6 linked regions of the Mus musculus genome follow. Each later gene encodes a partner of the first gene's protein in a complex. Links are inferred from orthologs where the notes say so. Each region holds a gene or a part of one and is shown in the gene's direction. Other genes may lie near its edges.

Region 1 (3,500 bases):
AAATCTAAAAGATGTGGAGGATCCTTTGGGAAATGCGTCCGTGCCTTAGGTCTGAACAAATGATCTTGAATGTGGTTCTTCTCACAATTTACGAGAGCAGACACCCAGAGTGAGGTGTTGGCAGGCTGGCTCTTTCTGGAGGCCTCTGGTAGTCTCGTCGAGTACCTGGCTCCATCCTTCGTCTCCGCTGCTCTCTTCACGGTGTGACTCACCTGTGTGCCTCTGGCCTTTTCCTCTTGCTCTAATGGCACCAATCACGTGGGATGCATGGTCCACCTAACACATCATTATTTCACTAGTGAGCTTGGTGAAGACCCCGTTTCTAGATAAATTCACATTCTGAGGTTTCAGGGAGACATGAGTTTGGGGTATTTTTTTTAACCCAGTGCAAAAGCTAAGTTCATTGGCACATTGGTTTGCTCAGGGTTCTTTCACTGCGTGTGTCAGAAACCACCAAGACCAGAAGGATTGTACACACCTTCATTCCCAGCGTCTGAAAGCCCGAAGCAGGAGGATCATGAGTTTGAGGCAAATCATAGATACATGATAAACTCTTGTTTGAAAAAAAAAAACAACAAACAAAAACTCCTGGACCACCTTTAGTGAAGGGAACTGAAGGCCTGTTGGGATGCCTGGGAGGGGTTCTGGCTTCAGTGCAGTATGAATTTGATGCTCAAGGCGCTCAGGAGCCATTGCCCTCTCCTCATGACCGCCACTGCTTGCCTCCCATGCCCTAATCCAGAGTTGTGCCTGACCTCAGGCCGTCTGACCCCAGAGCTCACACCGTTTGCCATCCCCTCCCATAACTGTAGCTATCAGCTATCAGCCATATCCTCTTCCCATCGCTCTACAGCAAACCCCATAGACTTCACATCTTCAAACAACACCCAGTTATTTAGCTCCAGCTCTGTCCGAAGTCCAGCCACAGAGAAGTGTGGGGAGCTCTGCTCAGGGTCTCAGTACACTAATTAGGCCATGCTCCTTCCAGAGGCTCGGGGGTGGGGGGAGGGGTGGGTGGGGATGCTACCTCCAACCTCATTCAGGTTGTGACCAGGATTCTTCTCTACTTTGTGGGAGGTCCACTACTTTGTGGATCCACGAGTGTGTGGTCCCCGCTTCCCCACTAGATGCCTGTCACCTGGGGATGTCTTAGCTCCCAGAGACGACTTCCCTCAGTATGCAGTATTCATTCATCCAGGCCTCTCAGAGTCCATGTGTCCTACCAGTCTGCTACCAGCCAGAGAAGGCTAAAATCAAGTAATCTTTTTTAGTAAATACACAACGAACAAAATGTTATATATATATTCATATATATATGAATGACTTCTGGACAGTTAATAGGCTCCTGGGATTAGATCAGAGAGATCATTTTCCTTTGGTCAGGTAATAGGTGCTGTGTGACATAATCTAATCATATGAATGCCTGTATCACATCCTCTCCAAGGGATTACACAGTGAGTGTGTGCACACTGCTGGCAAGGGACGGTATCCTTGGGAGGAGCGTAGAATCCTATCTAGCATATCCCCTCTTACAATGGGCTTTTAGCTTTGCTTCTCCACCAATAGGAGCCTAGTGTCTCAAACAGCATACATCTAATGCTACCTGTTTTACCAGTGGAGAGAGGAGGTCCGAACTACCAGAACATAGGCCTTCTGGTTTCTTTTTAGATTTCTTTACTTCCTTCCCTGGGGGACTCAGCAGAGGGCCTGTGGATACATATGTGGCCCCTGTGTTGTGTATGTATGTGGGAGGAGTAGACCGTCCTTCCCTCGAAAGGTCTCCATTTCCTGCAACAGCACAAGGAGCTCACTATGAAATGCTCCCATCATGATCTGCCTTGGCGCTGTCCTGCAGGGCAAGCACTGTCAAGGCTGAGACAGGAATGTCTGCGGGCACCACAGGCTCTTTGGTGCTAACCAGGAGGGAAAGCAGCTTAGGGGTTGGGGAAGGACTTGGGGCTGGCTTGCATGGAAGGAGGGAAGGAGAATGGCCTTGAACAGGGGAAGAGAGGAAAGTCACAAGGGGGATAAGATGATAAGATAGAGGGGGAGAGGGGGAGGAAATAGGAAGGCAAGGGAAACAACTGTGATGGATCAGGGCGATTTGTGGGGCTAAGGCCACCACTCGTGGCTTCCCAGTGCATCCAGGGGAGGTTTTCAATGTGCACTTCGTTCTATCAGGGAACCTAGAGCAAGCCAATGAGGAGCTTCGGGCCATCATCAAGAAAATCTGGAAGAGGACTAGCATGAAGCTGTTGGACCAGGTGGTGCCCCCTGCAGGCGGTAAGTGTTCCAGGCATTTGCAAACTGGGGCTATTTGCCTAGCCTGTGGGGTTTCGTCTCCTTCCTGCTGTCCTTAGCTGAGCAGACACAGCCCTTTAGACTTCCGTACTTGAGTCTCCCCTGCTTCTGGATCCTTCTACTCTGGACCCTTCCGAGGGTTCAGAGGTCCTACCAGGTTGCAATGTCCTACACACACTTGAATGCAAACTGCCAGGTTAGAAATCTGCTGTAACCCCATATTCATCTGTGGGAATAGGCAAGTCCTTCCATGCTGTGGGTCTGGCAGAACTTTCATGGGAACTCTATAATATATGGATGTATGTTTACCCATAAGCCACTAGGGTGACTGCTCTAGAGTTGCTCTAGAGCTCTGGAAGGAAAGTTGCCTGAGATTCATCATATCTTTTCTAAAAACTCATTTTTTTCCCTAGAGTAGCATTTCTCATGCCTACCAAGCCACAAGCCCCTTTTCCTAGCAAGTACTTCATACCATCCCTGCTAAAATCCAAAGTTGAAATTGTAGATAACATGCCTGCGCTTGTAATTTCCACAACAGTAGAATGCTTAAAGTAGGGTGTGTTAAAATCATCTGCATCCAATATACAAATGCATGGTACACCTATACAAAATGCTATGACGACTGATGGAGTCCACACACACAGACACTTAGAACGAGTAACTGTTGAAAGGAAACAAGACAGTGTAAATATTGTCAGCACTTTCATTTGTTGCATATATTTTATTAACATGTTAGTTGAACCCACGCATTCTGGAAACATCTTCAGGGGGTGATTCTTCCTGTTTGAGACCCACTTCCGAAAGGGAAAGCAAGGTAGGCTGGGAGTCACCGTGTGAGGTCTCATGCTCTGCGGCATCATTTTCCTTGCTGCCCGAAGTGTCTCTGTGAGGTTCACACCAGGCACTGGTGTTCATAGAAGAGATACCGGTTTTTCAGTGAATTCAGTGTCGACTTAGGCATCCAGCTCAGGCCTGGAAGAACCTAGGACTCCAAGTCCATTCCCAATTTACCTCATCAGGAATCTCCAGGGTTTTCTCTTCCATGTAGAAATGAGTCCCTGCCCCACAGCAAGCCCAGAACTTCTGTAGAGTTGGGTTCTCCAGTTGGCTACTCTCAAGGGACAGTGATGATCAGGAAAGCCATCGCAGGTCCCCAGGCTCAGCCCAACCATCTGTCGCTCTCACACAAGATGAAGGGG
Region 2 (4,222 bases), on another chromosome or scaffold:
AGGGGACTAAGGAGACAAAGGAAAAGGATGGTACAGGACAAGGCAGTACTTGGGGACACAGAAGATATCGAACTAACCCTCAAACACACTGGGTTGGAGCAGTGGAAGCTGCCTCCCCCAGTTGCAGCTGGTGCCCTCAGACACAAGGGCTCCAATAAAGTTGCCTGCCGGTCCTTCAGTCAGGAGACAGACTAGGGTGTCATTAGATGAGCCCCCCCCCCCATCTTTTTCTTACCGAGGGAACAGGAAGATAAGATATAGGTGGGAAGCCAGTTGGCTTGGGTGGGTGGTCTTCCTCTCCTTTCTACCGCACAGAACCTTCTATAGATCTCTTGAACCCTTCCCAATTGTAACCGGAAGGGTGGGCAAGTGTCCTGAACTTACACCCTCCGGGGTTTCAGGAGCTAGAAGTGGCAAAGGGCTGAGTTGAGAAAGCGAGACACCAAGCACGGCTGGTGTCTGCCTCACATCCTCTTGGGATGCCCAAGCAGGAGGTTAAAATGCAAAAGGAAAATTTTGGTCGGGGGGGGGGGGGGAGGGATGTAAAAAGGGAGCGAGCTCAAATGATGACAGCTTTTAGAAGATCTCTTCAGAGATTGCGACTCTTTCCTCGAATGGCGGGGTGGGGGTGGAGGGCGCTGACTGGTGCTGGATGATTAGAACCAGCATCCTGCACACCGTACGTAATTCTGGTCTTTTGCAAAGCGGTAGGCTTTACCCTTCTTCCTTCCCAACCTCAGCGTCAGGATCGCACCTTTGCTCCACCCTTTAAGCTCACCTAAAACAGCCCCTTTCTGCCCCAGTTCCCGCGGATGCTTTGGCAATGTCTGGCACAATCCTTGGCAGGGAAGTGAAGAAGAGAATCTCCATCCCGGCTTAACTTGGATAAAATCTGCCCGTGCAACAGGTGTGGGGAGGCCTAGCCACCGTCCCCGAACTTCCCCCTTCTTAAGGGTCGGCCCTTTACCGCAGCCCGGAACGGAGAGGGCCGGGCACCTGTTGGGGCAGGAGCTGCTTTCATGGCACGGGTCTGGGAGCTCAAAACCATTTCTCCCTAGTACCACTGCGGGGTTTGCTTTGGGTGTCTCCAGGACTTGCAGAGAGCTGACATTGCCGGATCACCTGAGACCTCTTCCCCATCTGCTGTCCGTCCTCCTTTAGATCTCCATTTTCCTGTCTCCGCGTTCTCCCTGCCTCCAGTCCTCCTCTCTCTCCAGCCATCCTCCCCGCCGCCCGCACCCTCTCGATTCTCCACCGGGCTCGCGTCTGGTTGCGGCGTCTCTCCCCTTCCCCTCCCCCGCGCCAGCCCTTTGTTTCCCGGCGGAGCAGTTCCTGGGTTGCGAGAGTCCCTGTCTCTGCATCTCTCCTCGCCCCGCCTCCTCCCCGCCGGGATCCGCCCCGCCTGCAGCCTCTCCGCCCTTCTTCCCCGCCGCCCCGGCCCCGGAGGTGCCGGGGACCCACCTTCCCGACTCGCGTGCGCCCGGTTCCGCGGCCCCGGCGGGTCCCCCCTGGCTGCCGCGCCCCCGCCGCCCGCGTCTTCCCGGGAGGGGGTCAGGTGGGCGGGCACTATTGTTGTGGGAGCCGGCGGCAGATTCCTCAGCCGCGCTGGCGCGCTCGGGGTGGGACCGGCTGGGCTGGGGGGTGGGGAGGGGAGCGGTGATCTGAGCTGCGAGCAGCTGGTCTTCGCGGCTCGCTCCTTCCTTCGCGCTCGCGCTCTCCGCCGCCGCCGCCCGCAGGGCTGCGCGGCTCGGTGGCATCTCGGGCGCGGCCCGCCGTCCTCGCCCCCGGCGCCGCTCGCTCCCCCCACCCACCCCGGACTCCCCCATGTATGACGACTCCTACGTGCCCGGGTTTGAGGACTCGGAGGCGGTGAGTGCCCGCGGGGGAGGGTGGGGGGTGGGGGTGGGGGAGTTGGGATGACACCTCTCTCTCTTCAACCCTTCCCCCAGTTCTGCACTTTGAAAAACGCCTTGGCAGCGAGCGGGGCAGCGCGCGTAAGCCGGCGGGGGGCTCTCTAGGAAAGTGGGAAGATGGTCTCTCATAGCCAGGTATCCCAGGTACTCCGGTGTGTGCACAGGGACGCTGTAGGGGGAAGGCTCGAGCAGGTGGCCCCAAAGCTCAGGACATAGGAGGCTGAGGAGGGGAGGACAGAAGGCCCCGACACCGAGGTTTTTAGAGCGAACATGGAACATTTGGAGTTCCGTATCCTGGGTTCATGGGGTCTGAACACAACAGGGAAAGCTGAGCTCCGGGGGAGACACTCCGGACTTGTGCCTCAAGTAAATGACAAATTAGGGAGCTGGAAGAACATTAGCGACTCGCGTACCAGCCTCTGCAGACAGGAATTCTAGAACTTGGTCTCTTTTTCCTCTCTGCCCACCCCCCCTGCGCATGGCCTTGACTGCTCTCACTCACCACTGCCTCTAGCTCAGCTTCTTGGAAAGGCCACCAACCACAGGGGTGGGCCATCAGACTGTGTTCAGTCTAGCCCCCTGCAGAGGAGGGCCTGGAGGTGAGGCCAGGGGAGCTCAGGGGCATGGGGATGGGAAGGAAGCTCTTTGCTCCGAGAACCAGGCAACCAATAAATATTTAATTCTTCTCTTTGCTTTTATCTCCTGACCCACTGAGACAAATCAGCTCATTAGACAGTGATTCCCGGAGCTCAGAGAGCAGAAAGACTGCCTGGAAAGATGGGACAAGAGTTGGGGGGGGGGGTCAGTGTCAGAGCCTCATGGAGTCACCAGTCTCCCCTTAGACATCCCACTCGATATGGGAAAGGACCACTAACAGGGCTTGAAAGGGTCCCCTGACAGGATTAAATCGAGCCTTTTATCTCCGGCCCAGGAAAGAGGAGTGGTGAGCCTCAGAGCAGGCATGTGTCAGTCAGTTGATTCTGGGACCAGGCTCCTTCAGGACCCAATTTTCCATGGGGCTCTGGGGCTAATTACGTTGCAAGGGAGAGCAGAGAGGTGGTTCTGAAGGCTCTGGTGGGCACCTCTTTCTGACAGTTGAAGGGACAGTTGGCATAGCCCTGGGAGTCAGAATAAGCTGGAGGAGAGACCTCTCTGCGGGGCTGCAGGGCCCGAGGAGCTACCTTCTCATCCCTGGTGAGAAGCCGGGGCTGATGCAGGAGACTGATACCTGGATGTTATTTGAGGGCGGCCTGCTGACCCATTGCTCCCTCCTGACCTTCCCCGGTTCTTAGATCTCTTCCCCCCCAACTTCCCTTCCTCCCGCCAGCTCCTTGCTCTCCCCGAGGCCCCCTCTGAAGCAGTAGGAGGGAGATCAGGCTCTAAATAAATCCACTGGGCTCATCTCCCTCCTCTTCTTCCCCTGTGCCAGGCAAGAGAGGAGCTGCAGCCTGCCCACACACTCACCAGGCAAGGGGGGCACCACTAGGGCACTGTGCCAACTCCAGCAGCTCCAGAGTACTGAGACGCTCTGGCTTTGGGGGCATAATGGGTGGGGAAGTAAGAGCCTGCCATTCTGCAGGGTAGAATGCTACCTACTTTCTAACTGGTACCAGACCAGCGTATGCAACCCCCCAGGACATGGGAATTATGGAAAGTGGCTTCCATTCAGATCACAACCCATTAAAGAATTTAAGGAGAGACCCTGTCAATCTCTAGGGTTAAGAGCTCACCTAGCCTAGATACCCCAAAGGCATTAAGGACTAAATTGGACTGAGAGCTTGGATCTGGGGAGGTGGAAGCTACACTTCTCCCAATACCTGCTGGGTACTGAGGAAGTATCTGATCGTAGGTGGTCATCCTCCAAGGCCCTTTTCACCTGCTGGTCTCTATCTATCTATCTCTATCTTCTGCCAGCCACACCTCACAGCTAGCGTTTACATTCTGGGAGTGAGGTCCCTCACCCCATGTCAAGGTCTTGTTCTCCCATGGTTGGAGAGAGGGGGGCAGCAGACTGGCCTGTACTTCTGCAAAACAAAAGGCCTCCCCAAACCGCTACCCAGTTCTGGGGCTGCCTCAAGACATTTGGTTTACAATAGACACAGTCTTTAGCTCAGATTCCAGGGCTGCCAAACACCTAGCTGACCAGCCCTCTTGCACACCGGAAGGGCTGGGCTGTAGGCCTGGTTGACAGCAGGGGTGTGAGTTTGCCTTTTCCAAAGAGTCTGGCCTCTGCTGCTTGTAGGTAGGTAGTCATAGCCAGTGGCTTTAAGAGACTGTTCTTCAACCTCAACATTCAGAAACCTCTTTCC
Region 3 (4,261 bases), on another chromosome or scaffold:
TCCCATGCTGCTCATTAAGCACCCCCAGAAGCCCAGCCATCATTTTTTTGTTGTGGGACTTTTTTTGTTTGTTCATTCATGTTTTTTTTTAAGGTTTATTTTATTTATATGAGTTACTGTAGATGTCTTCAGACACATCAGAAGAGGGTATCAGAAGCCATTACAAACGGTTGTGAGCCAACATGTGGTTGCTGGGAATTGAACTCAGGACCTCTGGAAGAGCAAATAGCTAGTGCTCTTAACCACTGAGCCATTTCTCCAGCCTCCTTGTTCATTCATGTTTTGTGACAGGGTCTCTCTATGTAGCTAAGGCTGGCCTCAAACTCATGATGTGATCTAGGCTGGCCTCAAGCCCCCAACATGGCTGTACACCATCAGACCCAGCTTCTGGGCCTCTTACTGTTCTCTCATCTTGCCAAGAATTTCAGTGGGCAAAGATACCATAGTATTAGCAACACTGTAGGAAACAAAGAATGCTTGTTTGTTTATTTGAGACGGGGCTTCTCTATGTAGCCCAGGTTGTCCTGAGGGTCACTATGTAAATGAGGCTGACCTGCCTCTGTCTCCATAGTGTTGGGATTAAATGTGTGCTCCACCACTGCTTGGTGGAGGTCGACCCTTTTAGGATCCAATAACCAGCTGAGCCGGAGCCACAGTTCTGGGACATTTGTTCCTCAGTCAAGGATAAAGGAGAGAGACAACCCTAGGTCAACAGTCATGGTGTATAATTTTGAATAGCTCCTCCCCCCGTTTATACTTCCTCCTCTTCCCCTTCTCTTAGAAGCAACAGGGACTTGCCAAGCCTGACTCCTGGCCTTTTGGAAGAGCCTATGAGACCTCAGTAACTGATGAGGTCGAAGCATTCCTGGGTCCCTGGATAGCAATCCTAATGTCCCTGGTGGCCTTCTTTGGACACTCACCCCATCATCCAGGCCCGGCTGGGGCCAGTAGACCTAGAGCCCGGTTGGAGAGGGAGGTCTACTCAGCTAGTTTCATGGCGGCCTGGGCCTGACACTGGGGAGAAAGGAGTTAAAGGCAGGTCCCAGGATCACAGGGACCGGGAAGTTCCGGTGGCCCAAGCTAGAGTCGCTCAGGGAGACCAGCTGAGAGAGTAGTTTGGGACAGAAAGGGAGGCGGTACCAGTCATACCGAGCGGCGTTTCACCACCTCCCCACCCCCCCATCAACGCTTGGCACACACTGGTAAACGCCCCCCACCTCCATCCCAGCCTCAAGGCCGGTTTCCCCTTAGTCCCCTGCAGGCCGCCCTCATCCCAGTCTAATCGGAGGACAGCGATCGAGCCCCTCCACGTTCTGGAGGCCAGCGGGGCTACGCCACTCGGCCATTGTCTGCGCGCAGCCGGTTGAGGGGCTCGAGGGGCGGGGCCGCGGCGCGGGGCGGGAGCGAGGGAGGGGCGGGGGGAGATGCTGAACCTTCAGGGGCGGAGGCGGCGGCGGCGGCGACGGCGGCAGCGGCCGCAGAGAGCACAGCGCGAGCCGGGAGGGCAAGCAAGGCGGCGAGCGTGCAGCCGGAGGTCCAGCTGGGAGACTGCACCCGGTGCTGGCTGCGCGACGCCGCGCTGCTCTGGGCTCGGACGGCCTCTCCCATGCGCTGAGAGCGCCCGGCTGGGCTGGGAGGGCGGCCGGACCGGAGGATCCTCTCCATGGTCCAGAAGAGCGGCATGTCCCGGGGCCCTTACCCACCTTCCCAAGAGATCCCTATGGAGGTCTTCGACCCCAGCCCACAGGTAAGGCGAGGTGGCAAGCTCGAGGGAAAGGGCCGCTCCTACGGATCTTGGGGTCGGCTTGGAAAGCCCCGGGAAGGAAAGGGTTATATGCCCCGCGTGGATGGGAGAGGGGTGTCTGCGCGACCCTCCATTCTCGAGGGTTAATGATCGATGGACTATTGGTCCGAGTCGGGTTGCGGTGCTGCGGAGCGGAGAGGAGGCGGTTGGAATGCCTGTCAACCTCGCCTCCAGGTCTCCCCCGCGTCCAGGTTCCTGCTGCTGGGGTACTGGCTCCAGCAGGCTGACAGCGGGGATGCTGATGGGGGTTGGGGGGAATCCAGGCCTTGAGAAGCGGAGTTGGAGGGAGGCTGGAGAGCGAATCGGGCGAGGGGGGCGACGCAGAGCACGTTTAGGGGCGCTAGTGGGTGTGGGTGGGGCGGGGGTAATACTGGGAAAAGGCCTAGACGATGGTCAGAGGGCGTTGCCAACAGGCCTTCGAAGGCTCAGACATTGGCTTTCGAAGGTGGAGAAGAGATCAGCTCAGGGAGGCCCTCCCCTAGTCACCTGGTCTCCATCCCTGTCTTGGATGTTTCCCTACTCCCAACACCCACATTAGCTTACCCCACCCCCTGCCCCAAGGGGTGGGAGCCGCCAAAGTTTGGAAAGTTGGATGGGTGCCAACTCACTGTCTTGGAGTGGAGGTCGCTGTTTTACCTGGGGGAGGGGCGCTGCCCTCTAGCACGTTCACTTTTCCTATGTGCCTGGGTTATTCCTAGGTAGGGGCGTTCTTGGGCATACAAGGTCCCCCTAGAATGACCAGCAGGGCATGTGGTGGCCATGCCAGGGGATTTCTCTAGGACTTGTCCTTCTCCAAGGATAGCATTAACACTTGCATTGCTGTGGCCAGCCTGGAGCAACTGTAAGCAACATGATGTGGTTGATGGGTGTGTATGGGGGGGGGGGTCAGGTCAGACCTAAAAATACTTCGTCTCTCCACCCCAGGCCCCTTGGAGTCTGGGAGGCAGCTGACTGATGCCTTCCTTTCAGCTGTCCCCTGTCCCTCTGAAGGCCACTCCCTTTGCCCAGCTGGGGTGAGGTAGTGCTGTGAAAGAGTCTTGAGGTTCACTGTAGAATGCTCTTAGGTCTGTAGAGAGCCTCAAAACTAGTTTAGCTGTATGCTCAGTTTTAGAGAAGGAAAGAGGATCATAGAATATTCAGTCCTATTATTCGTGTGTGTGTGTGTGTGTGTGTGTGTGTGTGTGTGTGTGTGTGTGTGATAGAATCTTATATAGTCAATGCTGGCCTTGAACTTATGATCCTCCTGCCTCTACCTCCAAAGAGTAGAGAATCACAGGTGTGAGTCACTATGCCTGGCTCACCAGCTTCCTTGTCACCAGGTCTCAGGAGCCAGAGCCTGCAGTGTCGCTGAGGTGCCTCTAGGCTCTTTGGTCAAAGAAAGTCTGGGATAGAGGTTAGGGGCAGGAGCTTTTGGGCATTCTGCCCATCCTGTACTGGGCAAGGGCCAAGAATATGAAATATGAGTGTGTGTGTGTGTGTGTGTGTGTGTGTGTGTGTGTGTGTGTGTGTATGAGGGGGGCACAGAAGCAGCTCCCATATAGGAAGCAAAGAGACACTCAATGCCATAACTTTGGCATATGAGAGGTCAGACAGGATCCCCCACCCCAGTTAGAGCCCACTAAGAGAGATTAACCATCTTACCTGGTACTGGCAGGAGTATATGTTCTAGTCTCAGCTTGGGGTGGGGCCACAGGGCCTTTAGATGGATGGAGCAGGGTTAGTATGATGGGGATGGGGCATGGGCAGTAGCAGCTGGCGTGGGAGTAGAGTGAATCCTGCCTTGGGGGGGAATATAAACACTGATTGCCAGGACGGAGGCTGAGAGAAAGTTCTGCTAGGGTGGAGGCAGAGTGGGAAGCTGAGCCTACTCTGAGGCACCTAGGCACCGGCCACAGGTTGGATGTTTAGTTTCTCCGGATGTGGCTGTTCTCTACCTCCTCCCTCTTTTCCTTCCTCAGAAATGTCTTCAAGCGCTGAATGTCTTTCCCTCCCTACTCAGGGGCTCAGGGGAGGAACCAAGCCAGGCCCTGGGTTGCCTCCTCTCTCTGGGGGCACAACACACACTCTGCCCCCTCAGCTCCAGATACAGGGGAGAGGACATCCCCCTCTCTTCCTCCACCCCCCCCCCCAGCACTGCAGGCAGCCTCTCCCTTCCCTGGAGGCTGCTGCAGCCTGCCCAGCATCTTAATTAGCTTTGCTGCCTAATGAGCCTCCCGTTCCTCGGGCCTTCTGCTTCTCAGCCTTCTGCTTGATTTGGGGGATTCCTGTGTGTGCATCCCAGGCTCGCTTGCAAAGGTTCCTCATGGTGACTGTTGTCTGGGCATTGTCAGTGAGGTAGAAGACCCTCTTTCCTTTCAGGCTAGCCACCTCTATGGAGGAGAAGCTGAGGACAGGGGTGGGGCCAAGCAGAGCGTCCGTCCCCAGGCTAGGCTGGCTGTATACAGCAGCAGCCCTGGT
Region 4 (3,500 bases), on another chromosome or scaffold:
TATTGATTTGGTGATCCACTAGGGTTTACTCCACAAGGTAATCCGTAGTAAGCCTTTAGTTCTATTTGCCATAAAGAAGGCAGTAAAGCACAGACAAGTTAATAGTCAACATTAAAGGATGTAACATATGCCACATGGCATATTGGCACAAGGTCATAAGAAGTGAAACTGGGCTCAGTGATGCACTTCTACCTCAGGTACCTCAACCTCACAGAAGGAAAGCAAGTTAGAAAAGGATTCAGGAATAGCACATGAGACTGGCCTGAGAATGCAGTCCTAGAGCAGTAACATAGTTCCACAACAATGGAGTGACCACTCTGATTCTAAGCCAACCTGATATCCTAATAATGACCCTGAATCAAAACATGGATGTAAATGTAATGCTACAACACCCAGCCCTCCCTGCAGAAGCATAAACAAGCAGGGCTGTGAGATAGCCCCAAGTCTATGTAAGCTATTTTCTTTGTCACCTTATCTTCAACTCTGATAAACCTGGGAAGCCCATCAGACTGAGGCTGGGAAAAAGGTCGCTTGAACTCAGTCTCAGAGCTTCTCCTGATTTTCAATCTAGAAGGCTGACCCAGCTTTTCTGCCCTCAAGGTCTAGATCATCTCTTGGGTCCCACTGTGTCCCAGATTTTAGTACTGGTCTATAACCATGCTTTCTGCTGCTCTGCCATCCCATGAGCCCTCTATAAGGCCAGGGTGTCTTAGCTTCTGTTTGATCTTATACTCAGGAGAGAGGAAACAAGAAGGGAAAATAGTCACTGGTCTCAGAATATGCATGCCACACAATCAACCTCCTTAATTTATCTATCTCCAGAATATACAAGTATTGCCAATAGAGAACAGATACTTATCTGTAAATTTTCAGAAGCACCAAAAAGTGAAAGATGACTAAATGAATGTTATCTTTAGTGGCTGAGTGAACTCAAGGAGGAAAAATGGTTGGATAAAAAGGTCAGTGCTTTCGAAATTCCCTGCAGCCATGAATCCTTGCTAAGGCTGAAGTGTATATTCTCTAGTTATTTTTCCATCTCAAACATTATACCACTGGGAAATACATTGTTATTGCTTAATTGAAATGGATATTCAGGGTACGGAGGATGTTTTTATCGTTTTTGCTTTTTCCTATCCAAACCAATGAATTGGGCATTGTATATGTGTCCTGTTTTCAGATTGTTGCCTGTTGTAAGGTTGAAATGCATATTTCATTCATATATCTTGGCTTTTCTTCCCTCCGTGCTTTCAAAAAGAATAGCTCTTCTTTTCTAGTTTGGAAGTGGGTGGATGTGGCTGAGAGCTATCATATTCATTGAGAATATTAACAAGCTGCTTTGTTATGATGAACCAATGGGAAGAAGTAATTATTCCAACAATATTTGGAGGGTGTCTTTGTACTTAAGGGAGAAAGGCACTGTCATTTCTTTTCTTACTGTTTTTCCTCCCATCCCTTTTTAGACAAAACCTGTTGCATTTGCAGTTCGGACCAATGTCAGATACAGCGCAGCCCAGGAGGATGACGTTCCGGTGCCTGGCATGGCCATCTCCTTCGAGGCCAAAGATTTTCTGCATGTTAAAGAAGTAAGGAGAATTTGTTTCCTTCCATGTGATTTTTCACCTTCAGCTCTCACTTACTTCTTAGTGTTGTGAAATAGACTTAGTTCTAGCTGCTGTTGTATAACCCACAGCTAAATCGGTGTCTCAGAACCTTTTCTGATATAAATAAACTTCAATGTAGAAAGGAGTCAGAGGCTCCTAGCAGGATTGCCAGGGCCCCTTTGGGCTTTGTGCCCCAGAAATTAGGAACTATTTTGCTGAGTGATCCAATTTTATGTGTGCCCTGCCTTTTATCTCTTAATGATTTACCTTGATTGACTACTGGTAATGTTTTTCCTGATGACTGAAGTCAGAGCCATATAAGGAAGAGGCTTTTTAGGTTTTTGGGGTTTTGTTTTTTGTTTTTTGTTTTTTGTTTTCTTCTTCTTCTTTTTAATGAGACAAGATTTCACTCTGTGGCCCAGGCTGACCTAGAATCTTTTATGTGGCCCTGGCTCTAAAACTCACTATATAGCCCAGCCTGGCCTCAAATGTGCTACAACTCCCTACTACCCACCATCCCTCCCTCCACTTCATTCACCTGGGTGCTGGGAGTCCAGTTGTAAACGTCCATGCCTGCCTCCCTGGAAGGGTTCGGTTGCTTCTTTCTACCAGAGAAGCATCATTTCTGCAGCAGAATGGAATGGTGGGAAATAGAGCAAATGAGACATGAAGGAAGCTGATGCCAAGAAAATGTTTGTTACCCTAAACAGACAAGGACAGCCTTTAAATTAGAAAAATTCACGTTTAATTACATTTTTTTTTGGTGTCCACATATCACATGTGTGCTCTGTGGGACATGATAATTTTTCCTAGAGTTCACTTTTTTTTTTTTTTTTTTTTTTTTTTTTTTTTGGACCTGAGGGAATTTAGAGTTGGAGGCATTCACACAGGGAGAGTATGAAAATTAACTGGGCCATGCACTAACTGATGCAAGTGAAGGAGGCTAGAGAGCTCACAACTGCAACAAGTCATAGACAAAGATGTAAAAAAAAAAAAAAAAAGGATGCAAAAAAAAAAAAAAGGAAATCCAAGTGTTCAGAATTGATGGTGAGCATCCACAGGAACGGGTGAACATACAACAGGAAGTTAAACTAATATAGAGACTTTTCTTGATGCTAATACCTTGAGCAGAATCATTTTGTACTACAGAAAGAAAAATCATGAGCTTTTTAGAAAATACTTGATAATAGATTTAATTGAGGAAAATAAAATTAGATCCTGAAGATTCAAGATAAATATTTACCTGCAAGATAAGCTACCAGCATAAACATGAGAAAAACCACGTGTGAATGCTGTACTGTATGCCTATAAAACTGCAGAGGTACATTTTGCTGATACAGAATATTTCAAGTATATTTCAGTATTCCTCTTCAATATTAATACTTTGAATTAAACCAATTTCATAAGCAAAAGAACTCTGCAAGACTTCCTAGATTGTCTCTTGCTAGGGATATTAATCTTTGAATGTTGACCAATTATTACATATCTCAGCTTAGACCTAAATGCAGCACTGGAAAGGGAAAAACAAGGAGATGCAGTCTCTATTGGACTGCTGGCTGGCCACACCGAGCTGGGCACACACTTTTCTGAGCTGAACACACAAACCCAAAGGCTTCTTGAATTTTGGTATTAGATGTATGCTTCTAACTGCCATGTTTTTCTCCCGTGAAAACAGTTGATGTAGAAGAAGTCAATTCAGACGTTTAAACCTCTTGAACTGATTCTAATACTTTGGATTTTGTGTGTAGAAATTTAATAATGACTGGTGGATAGGACGGCTGGTTAAAGAAGGCTGTGAAATCGGATTTATTCCAAGCCCAGTCAAACTAGAGAACATGAGGCTACAGCACGAACAGAGAGCCAAGCAAGGGAAATTCTATTCCAGGTATGAACAACAAC
Region 5 (3,759 bases), on another chromosome or scaffold:
GACACCCATCACTGAACCCAGCTTTTTACACAGTTGCAGGGAACCCCCATGCTCTGTAGCAAACACTTCAACAGCAGAGCCATTTCCCTAGGCCCTGGAAATCTTTTGAAAAATGCTGTTCCCTGGGTCCCACTGTGAATGGACCTGGGGTTCAGGTCTGGTTTGATCAAGGTGCTTCCTCATCACTGTTAATATTCCGTACTGGATAACTGCTGTGTCTTGTGGCTTGTGAGCTGAGGGCTTTTGGTACAATCCTTGGCCTCTAGACATTGCCTGGGAGATGGATCCATGTGCAGAGATCACTGGTTAATTGCTAAGCTTGCATGCCCCCTACTTTGGGAACAACATGAGCCCAGGTCTCAGTTACCCTAACTGCCTAATGAGCTCAGGGTTTGCACACCGTCCGCCCTGAGATTCCATCACCCTTTACTCCCTGAGGCCATCTCAGCCTCCTTTTGGAGGCTTTCCTTATCTGCTGAAATGCTGTGCTAAAAGTCAGGGAACTGTTTGGCCCAGATTCAGAATGTGGGCGGAAACAGGTAGCCAGAGCCAGAGGGCCCCTCTGTGCCCTGTGGCGAAACACCTGCCCTTTCTACCGGCTCACAGACTGTCTGTTCCTTTACAGAAAAGAACTGCTCCTACTTCAGGCACTTCAACCCAGGGGAGAGCTCGGAAATCTTTGAATTCACCACTCAAAAGGGTGAGGCCCTTGGAAGCAGGGGCGGTGGGAAGCAATTTCTGTCACAGGCTGCTGAGCCGCCGGGAGTCACTTGGCAGAAACCTGCTGACTCCTGCTCAGGATGAAAAGTAGCTGCAGGCTGTGCCCTGTCACATCCCTACACACAAGGGGTGGTTCCCCGCCCAGGTTGGTGTTAGGGACGGTGGGTGAAGAAGACCTGCCAGAAGGCTGCAAGTTGCAGCTGGAACGTATTCCAGCAGAGTCCAGGGCAGGGAGCTTTGAAGGGTTCCAGGACCTACAGTGCTGGAGCAGGATTCTGGGGTGGATGAATGGATGGGTGAGAGCCTCTGTGAGGATGTGGGAGTCCTGGCCACACTTAATAGATCCCTGAGCTGAGGAAACATGATAATCCCATCCTTCATCCATAGAACTCGGAGACCTCATTAGCAGGTACAGCCTGGCCTCTGGGAGAATGAGCCGCCACACAGCGTGTAAGAGCTGACTCAGACACACTCATGCACGTGCTACAGATCCTCACGTCCGCACATGCACACACAGATGGGTCTTCATGCACAAAGCAGGGAACAGACATACTTGTATGCATGCATACACATGCCAACAGAACCTCACACATGGGACACACATACACACTAAGAGTCTTAATGCAGGGAACACTCATGCATGCATGCATGCATACACCAGCAGACCTTCACACATGGAAAATGTATACACACTGAAAGCCTAATAAAGGGAACACTTATACACACACACACCACGCATACACACACAGAGATCCTCATATATGAGGTACATACAAGTGTACCCACGTATACTGACAGATTCTCTCTCTCTCTCTCACACACACATACACACACACACACACACACACACACACACACACACACACTCATACAAATTCTCACATGCAGACACAGAGGCACATACTCTGATGGATTCTTAGGCAGCCCCCACACATCCACACCCACACACTGTCAATCTTCCGGAGTCCCCTTGTCAATCTGAGACAGACCACCTACAGCTCAGTACCTCCTCTGCCTGTCACTCAGGAGGCCTTTGGCTCTAAGAACATCTCCAGCCACGTGGTGTCCCACCTCCTCCTGAGGCCCTTTTTTCAGAGAACCCTACACTTTAGTTCCCCGGGGAAGATACGGATGAGTTCGTCGACAGCACCTGTCCCCACTCTGCCCTAGAATATAGACTTTGAGTAAGCCTCGCTCATTCGGGTGTAAAATGGGAATCCTGGATGCCCAGAACTTCGAACCTCCTCGCTAAGAACACTGACAGTAGGAAGTGCCTGGAGAGGCTCTCGCTCTGAGGCTCCCTCTCTTTTGCAGAGTACAGCATCTCAGCAGCGGCCATTGCCATCTTCAGCCTCGGCTTCATCATTGTGGGTTCCATCTGCGCATTTCTGTCCTTCGGGAATAAGCGTGATTACCTGCTGAGGCCAGCATCCATGTTTTATGCCTTCGCAGGTAGCGTGGGGTCCTGCAGTGTCTGAGTGGGAAGAGGACTCAGGTTCCACACAGGAACAAATTCAGTCAGAACTCAGGTGACCCCAGGAGGGCTGGGAGGGAGAAGGCTTGCTTTGTTCATTTTTCCCCCAGTGACACTTCCCTTGGGAAGGACACTGGCCAAACCTTCCCAGTGAGTGATTAACAAGAGAAGGAAGGAAATGTGGCGGGTCTCTGACTAACCTCCTGCAGGAGGTGGGAACTGGACGTTTGGGAAGTGGTAGGCGTGGATCACTTTTGTAGATTCCTGCTTAGAACAGTCTAGAAGCAGTTCCCTCTCAGGACCAGGTCAGAGGCAGGGAACAGAGGTTGGGGGAGGACTGAGGTGGCAGCAGGAGCACCAGCAGTCACTGGGACTCTTGGCTTTGTCCCCAGGGCTCTGCCTCATCGTCTCCGTGGAGGTCATGAGGCAGTCGGTGAAGCGTATGATTGACAGCGAGGACACGGTCTGGATAGAGCACTACTATTCGTGGTCTTTCGCCTGTGCATGTGCCGCGTTCATCTTGCTCTTCCTCGGTGGGCTGTTCCTCCTGCTCTTCTCCCTGCCTCGGATGCCTCAGAACCCCTGGGAATCCTGCATGGACGCTGAGCCAGAGCACTAGATCAAACCAGAGTCTTTCGGAGGTGAGGAGGGAGTTTCACCTCTGCCCTGACCTCTTGTCTCTCACGTGTCTCTCCCTCTGAGCTCCTCTACAAACAGTGCACATGGACACAAACGCAGACCTGCCCAGGGTCAGAGGAAGCAGGCCAGCAGGTATATGAAAGGGCCCTCCTCCGTGCCTGCCCCAGCTCAGGCTTGCCCACCATGCCTGACGGCTGTGACGATCTGGTCTGGTCATCTTTAGAAAGCTTCCGGGAACAGCCTGTTCTCATTCTGCAGTTCTGAGCATCGCGGGTGTCCTGAGTCAGCTCCTCCCCCACTCTTCTCCGCCATGATACGAACCCCTCCTCTGTGAACTGAACATCTCTCCTTGGCTTCCAGGATTCCCAAGAGACATTTTTGGCTGGATAGGATCTGTGGTTTGAAATAAAAGATCTCGGAAATGTTTCCTTTTTTTCCCATATGCCTTGCACAGCAATTGCTGGTATTCCTGGCCATAAACTGCCCAGCACCCTAAACCCTGGAGAAAGAAAGGAAGGTGTGTCCTCTAGGGTAGTGGTTTTCAACCTGTGCATTGTGACCCCTTTCACAGGGTTTGCATATCAGATAGTTACTTTAGAATTCATAACAGTAGCAAAATTACAGTTATGAAGTAGCAATGAAATTAATGTTGTGATGGGGGGGGGGGTCACCATAATGTGAGGAACTGTATTAAAGGGTCACAGCATTAGGAAGGTTGAGAACCACTGCCTGGGTATTGAAGACTTTTAGAGAAGAGGCAGGTTAGCTTAGAAGTTCTGAATTCCAACTTGAAGGTCTGAGCCCTGGAATTGTTTGGAATGAAACTAGAAACCTTGTGGCTTGGGCAAGGGTGTTAAAAATAGGAGGGGTTATTTCTAGAGTCACCCAGCCCCTCTCAGCTCTGAAGCCCCATGGTCTCAGCTCAG
Region 6 (4,056 bases), on another chromosome or scaffold:
TACGTTGTCCTTTGACCACATGTTAGAGGGCATGCCCCAGTAAGTATACACACTTAGTATAGCTTAAACGATAAACGAAAGTATACTTAGAAATAAACCTCATTACAGAAGGCAGCTGTGGGCTGGCGAGATTGGCTAGTGTGTAAGCCCAGTAGCCTGAGCCCAATCCCTGGATCCCATGGGATGGCCTCTGACGTACACACACACCTGCACTCACACACATCCAGACAGACAGACGAGAGAAGGACACAGGCAGCTGTAACCTTCCCAGGGTTAACTATACAGGGACCGACCTGACTCTTGTTAAAAAGGTTTATTTTTGTTTTATGTGTATAGGTGATTTGCCTACATGCGTTTAAATATACAGCGTGTCTGCGGGTGTAGGTCCTCTGGAACTAGAGTCGCAGAGCTCTGTAAGCTGCCACGTGGGTGCTGGGAACTGAACCCAGGTCCCCTGGAAGAGAAGCTCTGCCATCTCTCCAGCCCCATAGCTTTTGGGTTTTGCCACCATCTTTTTCAGTAACATACATTCTCTTCATCTTAGGGACAGGATTTTAGGCGAAAGGGGAGAAAAATGCACCCGTGCACTTGAGAAAGCACTGCATTCGATCAGCTGCCAGTGAGAAAGTCTTTCGTGGCTGACAGAATTCTGAGTCACATCCTCTTCTCAGCTCCCATCCCTTTCCTAGCCTGAAGTTTTGGTGTTAGCTAGGCATGGTGGCACATACTTTTAATCTCAGCACTCAGGAGCTAGGCAGAATGATCCCTTGAGTTCAAGGCCAGCCTGGTTTACAGAGCAAGTTCTGGGAGAGCCAGGCCCACACAAAGATACCTATCGGGGTGGGGGAGGCAGGAAATAAAATCCAAGAACGTGATTGAAATGAGCCCAGGGAGGGTAAGATTGGAACGGTTATTTGAACCTTAAGGGGAGAGTATGGGGGGTTCCATTATCAGATCTAAAGTCCTTCACGTGACTGCGTCTTGAACAGGAGTGCCTTTCCTGCTGTGGGTATAGCTTGGCAGTCTAGCCACATAGTTAGCATGGCAAAACCCTGTTTTCAATCCCTGGTACTTGGAGTGGGGTGCTACTGTATTGGGTAGAATATGCCTATTCCTGATAAGCCAGAACTGACCTGCTCTGTGTAAACACTCGGAGAAGAGCTGTTCTGGGGGGCGGGGGGGGGGGGGGATGGGAGGAGTCAGGGTCGAGCCCTGCCCCAGACCTCCTGGTTCCAATTTCTCCCTGTCAGCTGTGCTCTCAGCTGTCCACTGTCCTCCAGCCCTGTCACTTCAGCTCTGCCACCACGGTGAGAGGCTCCAAGGCCTACCTACTAATACTGTCTGGGTAGCTGGTGTGGGTCCAGAAGGTACCAGAAAGGGGGCTTACCTCCCTGAAGGAAGAGGGCTAGCCCTCCCCAGCAGCACCATCAAGGTCTCAGAGACCCCTTTCCACAGTGAACTGACTTAGGGAGTCTGGAAAGTAAGTCGTCTCTTCATTATCCTTTCATTTCTTCTAACCTGAGTCTGTTGGGCTTCTTCGTCTCTCTCCTCACCTGTGAGTAGTTTGGGGTTTTGAAGTGAAATTGTCCTAGTTCAGGATGAGTGAGGATTGGAGAAGGGGGTAGGGTGTGGTGGGGTCCAGGGAATGGAGGGGTAAGGGAAGGGAAGGCTCACATTACTCTGAAAACCTAAAATAGCTGAGGCCTGAGGCAGGCCAGGGAAGAACTAGGCACAAGGCCCCCAAGGCTCAGGAGAGAGGTAGGGGAGGACAGATCTCTGGACACACCTTCAGACACGCAGACGGGTTAACCGTGTTAACCATGTTAAACCTCCTGAAGCCACTAGAAGATGTGTATCATCGATCAGAACTACCTGTAGGACAGCTGTTCTCAACCTGTGGGTCGCATAGCAGACGTCCTGCATGTCAGATATTTATATTTCAATTCATAACGGTAGCAAAAGTATAGTTGTGAAGGAGCAGTGAGATAATTTTATGGGTCACCACCACACAAGGTACCACAGCGTTAGGGCCACAGCATTAGGAAGGTTGAGAACTGCTGTAGAAGAACCTAGAAGACAAGCCTTGAGTAGCATGTTGGATTTGTAGACTCTGGGCTTGCTCCTTGATGTGGAAAGTATCCGTGTAAGCAACTGACTGGGGAGTCTTTCCTCTGTTGGACATTTCTCGGGGGACCTCCATAGAATCTCTTCATAAGCTCTGCCAAAGCTGTCTAACCAAGTTTCTCCCAAAGGCTCCCCTTCGAGGGCCACCCTACTGTGTGCAGCAGGACTGCTGGAATAGAAGAACAGCAGACAGAGATTAGAACTCATAGCGGGGCCCAATCTCTTGTAAGATGACAGAAAAGGAAGTGGTGGAGTCCCCTCAGCCCCCCTTTCCAGGAGAGACTCCGCAAAGTGGGGTGAGTCTGGACCTATGTCCGCTTTTGGGGGGAGCGGGGTCCAAAGGGCTGGGAAGCCATCACACAGCCTCTGAAGAAAACTACTCGGATTGAAACCGCTTGTGTGCGTCTCATTTATTATTGGGATAGCCAACACCTGCAACACCCAGCCCCCTAATACCAGGGACGTTGCTTTCCCATGATTGGAAAATGAGACCATGACTGTCATTTAATGATGGGTTTCCTTCACCCCTCCCTCAGCTACAGCGACTGAAGCAGTTATTCAAGAAGGGCTCTCCAGAGACAGCTGAGATGGAGCCTCCCCCAGAGCCCCAAGCCAATGGAGAGGCGGTGGGGGCTGGGGGTGGGCCCATCTACTATATCTATGAGGAAGAAGAGGAGGAGGAGGAAGAGGAGGAACCACCCCCAGAACCTCCTAAGCTCGTCAACGACAAGCCCCACAAGTTCAAAGATCACTTCTTCAAGAAGCCCAAGTTCTGCGATGTCTGTGCCCGGATGATTGTGCGTGAGTCTTGGGGAAGCAGAGGCAGTAGGATGGAAGTCTCACGGGGAGGGACAGGACCAAGGAGAGGTGTGTCTGTATAGACAGACTGGCAAGATTCACCCTATGAAAGCGCTGAGGTTGACAGTAGAAGGCAGGCAGGCCAGAGCTGAAGTAGCCACGGGGTGAAGGAAGGGGGGCATCCAGAACCTCACTCAAACGTTCTCCCCCTTGAAGTCAATAACAAGTTTGGACTCCGCTGCAAGAACTGCAAAACCAACATCCATGAGCATTGTCAGTCCTACGTGGAGATGCAGAGATGCTTCGGCAAGATCGTGAGTAGTGAGGCTCCGGGGAGCAGGAAGGGAAGGCACGGGCAATCAGGTCCTCCTTTCTGGCCCCTAAAGCCACTCCATACATCTCCTGCTTTACCTTACTCTGAGAGGGGCTGAGCACTCACTCGTGGGGGGTGGGATCCTGGACCCTGCCTTGCCGCTTCTAATGTTCTCCCCATCCCGCCTCCAGCCACCTGGTTTCCGTCGGGCCTATAGCTCCCCACTCTACAGCGACCAACAGTACGCTGTCTGTAAGTACCCGTACAGGATCCGAGGGAGGGGTGCAGGCCTCCAAGGTGGTGTCATACTACCCGTTTAGGAAAAGAAATTCTGAAACAGGGTCATTCTATCTCCATAGCTCTACCGCAGTCTAGACTTTTTACAGCCATTTCTGGATACAATGGTTAGTCCCTTGGTTTATAGCCAAGAGATGTGAATGAGCAGGCCAGCAGTACAGCTCCTTTTAAACCATTTCTAAGCAAGAACAAGGATTAAGTCTGTTTTTACCCTGTTGCAGAGTGATTCCACGTCCAGAGGCCAGCTCAAGAGCTATGGATATCCCACCCCACCCCCCAGAAAAAGGTCCTAATCTGGCATGCCTTCAAAGTGTATTCCTTGAGGTTGAATTGATGGTACAGGCCTTGAATCCACACTCACAAGGCAGAGGCAGGCAGGTCTCTCTGAGCCAGGGCAACACAGCAAGGCTGACTCAAAAAAGGAAACACAGTGGCAGGCCTGTGTTCAAAGTTCATGTTTCTTTTGGTGGTCACAGTGTTCAGGGTGGGTGAGGGGCTGAAAACTGGCTCAGATGTATTTGGCA

What was found.
Region 2: Cacna1c (region 1) and Cacnb3 share a complex: the UniProt entries of both Homo sapiens proteins name them as parts of the calcium channel complex. The link is inferred for Mus musculus from reciprocal best matches to the Homo sapiens genes CACNA1C and CACNB3.
Region 3: Cacna1c (region 1) and Cacnb1 share a complex: the UniProt entries of both Homo sapiens proteins name them as parts of the calcium channel complex. The link is inferred for Mus musculus from reciprocal best matches to the Homo sapiens genes CACNA1C and CACNB1.
Region 4: Cacna1c (region 1) and Cacnb2 share a complex: the UniProt entries of both Homo sapiens proteins name them as parts of the calcium channel complex. The link is inferred for Mus musculus from reciprocal best matches to the Homo sapiens genes CACNA1C and CACNB2.
Region 5: Cacna1c (region 1) and Cacng1 share a complex: the UniProt entries of both Homo sapiens proteins name them as parts of the calcium channel complex. The link is inferred for Mus musculus from reciprocal best matches to the Homo sapiens genes CACNA1C and CACNG1.
Region 6: Cacna1c (region 1) and Stac3 share a complex: the UniProt entries of both Homo sapiens proteins name them as parts of the calcium channel complex. The link is inferred for Mus musculus from reciprocal best matches to the Homo sapiens genes CACNA1C and STAC3.

Annotation. Positions count from the first base shown.
Region 1 is NC_000072.6:118,604,996-118,608,495, reverse strand, and holds part of Cacna1c (voltage-dependent L-type calcium channel subunit alpha-1C), read left to right. Parts: intron 1-2,181; coding exon 2,182-2,283; intron 2,284-2,996; exon of another isoform or gene 2,997-3,500. UniProt on the Homo sapiens protein: Pore-forming, alpha-1C subunit of the voltage-gated calcium channel that gives rise to L-type calcium currents. Mediates influx of calcium ions into the cytoplasm, and thereby triggers calcium release from the sarcoplasm.
Region 2 is NC_000081.6:98,633,345-98,637,566, forward strand, and holds the start of Cacnb3 (voltage-dependent L-type calcium channel subunit beta-3), read left to right. Parts: upstream 1-1,422; 5' UTR 1,423-1,824; coding exon 1,825-1,869; intron 1,870-1,949; exon of another isoform or gene 1,950-2,030; coding exon of another isoform or gene 2,031-2,057; intron 2,058-4,222. UniProt on the Homo sapiens protein: Regulatory subunit of the voltage-gated calcium channel that gives rise to L-type calcium currents. Increases CACNA1B peak calcium current and shifts the voltage dependencies of channel activation and inactivation.
Region 3 is NC_000077.6:98,019,828-98,024,088, reverse strand, and holds the start of Cacnb1 (voltage-dependent L-type calcium channel subunit beta-1), read left to right. Parts: upstream 1-1,461; 5' UTR 1,462-1,663; coding exon 1,664-1,747; exon of another isoform or gene 1,748-1,890; coding exon of another isoform or gene 1,891-2,010; exon of another isoform or gene 2,011-2,086; intron 2,087-4,261. UniProt on the Homo sapiens protein: Regulatory subunit of L-type calcium channels. Regulates the activity of L-type calcium channels that contain CACNA1A as pore-forming subunit.
Region 4 is NC_000068.7:14,957,306-14,960,805, forward strand, and holds part of Cacnb2 (voltage-dependent L-type calcium channel subunit beta-2), read left to right. Parts: intron 1-1,460; coding exon 1,461-1,583; intron 1,584-3,349; coding exon 3,350-3,486; intron 3,487-3,500. UniProt on the Homo sapiens protein: Beta subunit of voltage-dependent calcium channels which contributes to the function of the calcium channel by increasing peak calcium current. Plays a role in shifting voltage dependencies of activation and inactivation of the channel.
Region 5 is NC_000077.6:107,702,718-107,706,476, reverse strand, and holds the end of Cacng1 (voltage-dependent calcium channel gamma-1 subunit), read left to right. Parts: intron 1-625; coding exon 626-700; intron 701-2,034; coding exon 2,035-2,172; intron 2,173-2,586; coding exon 2,587-2,813; 3' UTR 2,814-3,259; downstream 3,260-3,759. UniProt on the Homo sapiens protein: Regulatory subunit of the voltage-gated calcium channel that gives rise to L-type calcium currents in skeletal muscle. Regulates channel inactivation kinetics.
Region 6 is NC_000076.6:127,500,430-127,504,485, forward strand, and holds the start of Stac3 (SH3 and cysteine-rich domain-containing protein 3), read left to right. Parts: upstream 1-1,256; 5' UTR 1,257-1,307; exon of another isoform or gene 1,308-1,555; intron 1,556-2,252; 5' UTR 2,253-2,354; coding exon 2,355-2,420; intron 2,421-2,660; coding exon 2,661-2,925; intron 2,926-3,138; coding exon 3,139-3,236; intron 3,237-3,426; coding exon 3,427-3,487; intron 3,488-4,056. UniProt on the Homo sapiens protein: Required for normal excitation-contraction coupling in skeletal muscle and for normal muscle contraction in response to membrane depolarization. Required for normal Ca(2+) release from the sarcplasmic reticulum, which ultimately leads to muscle contraction.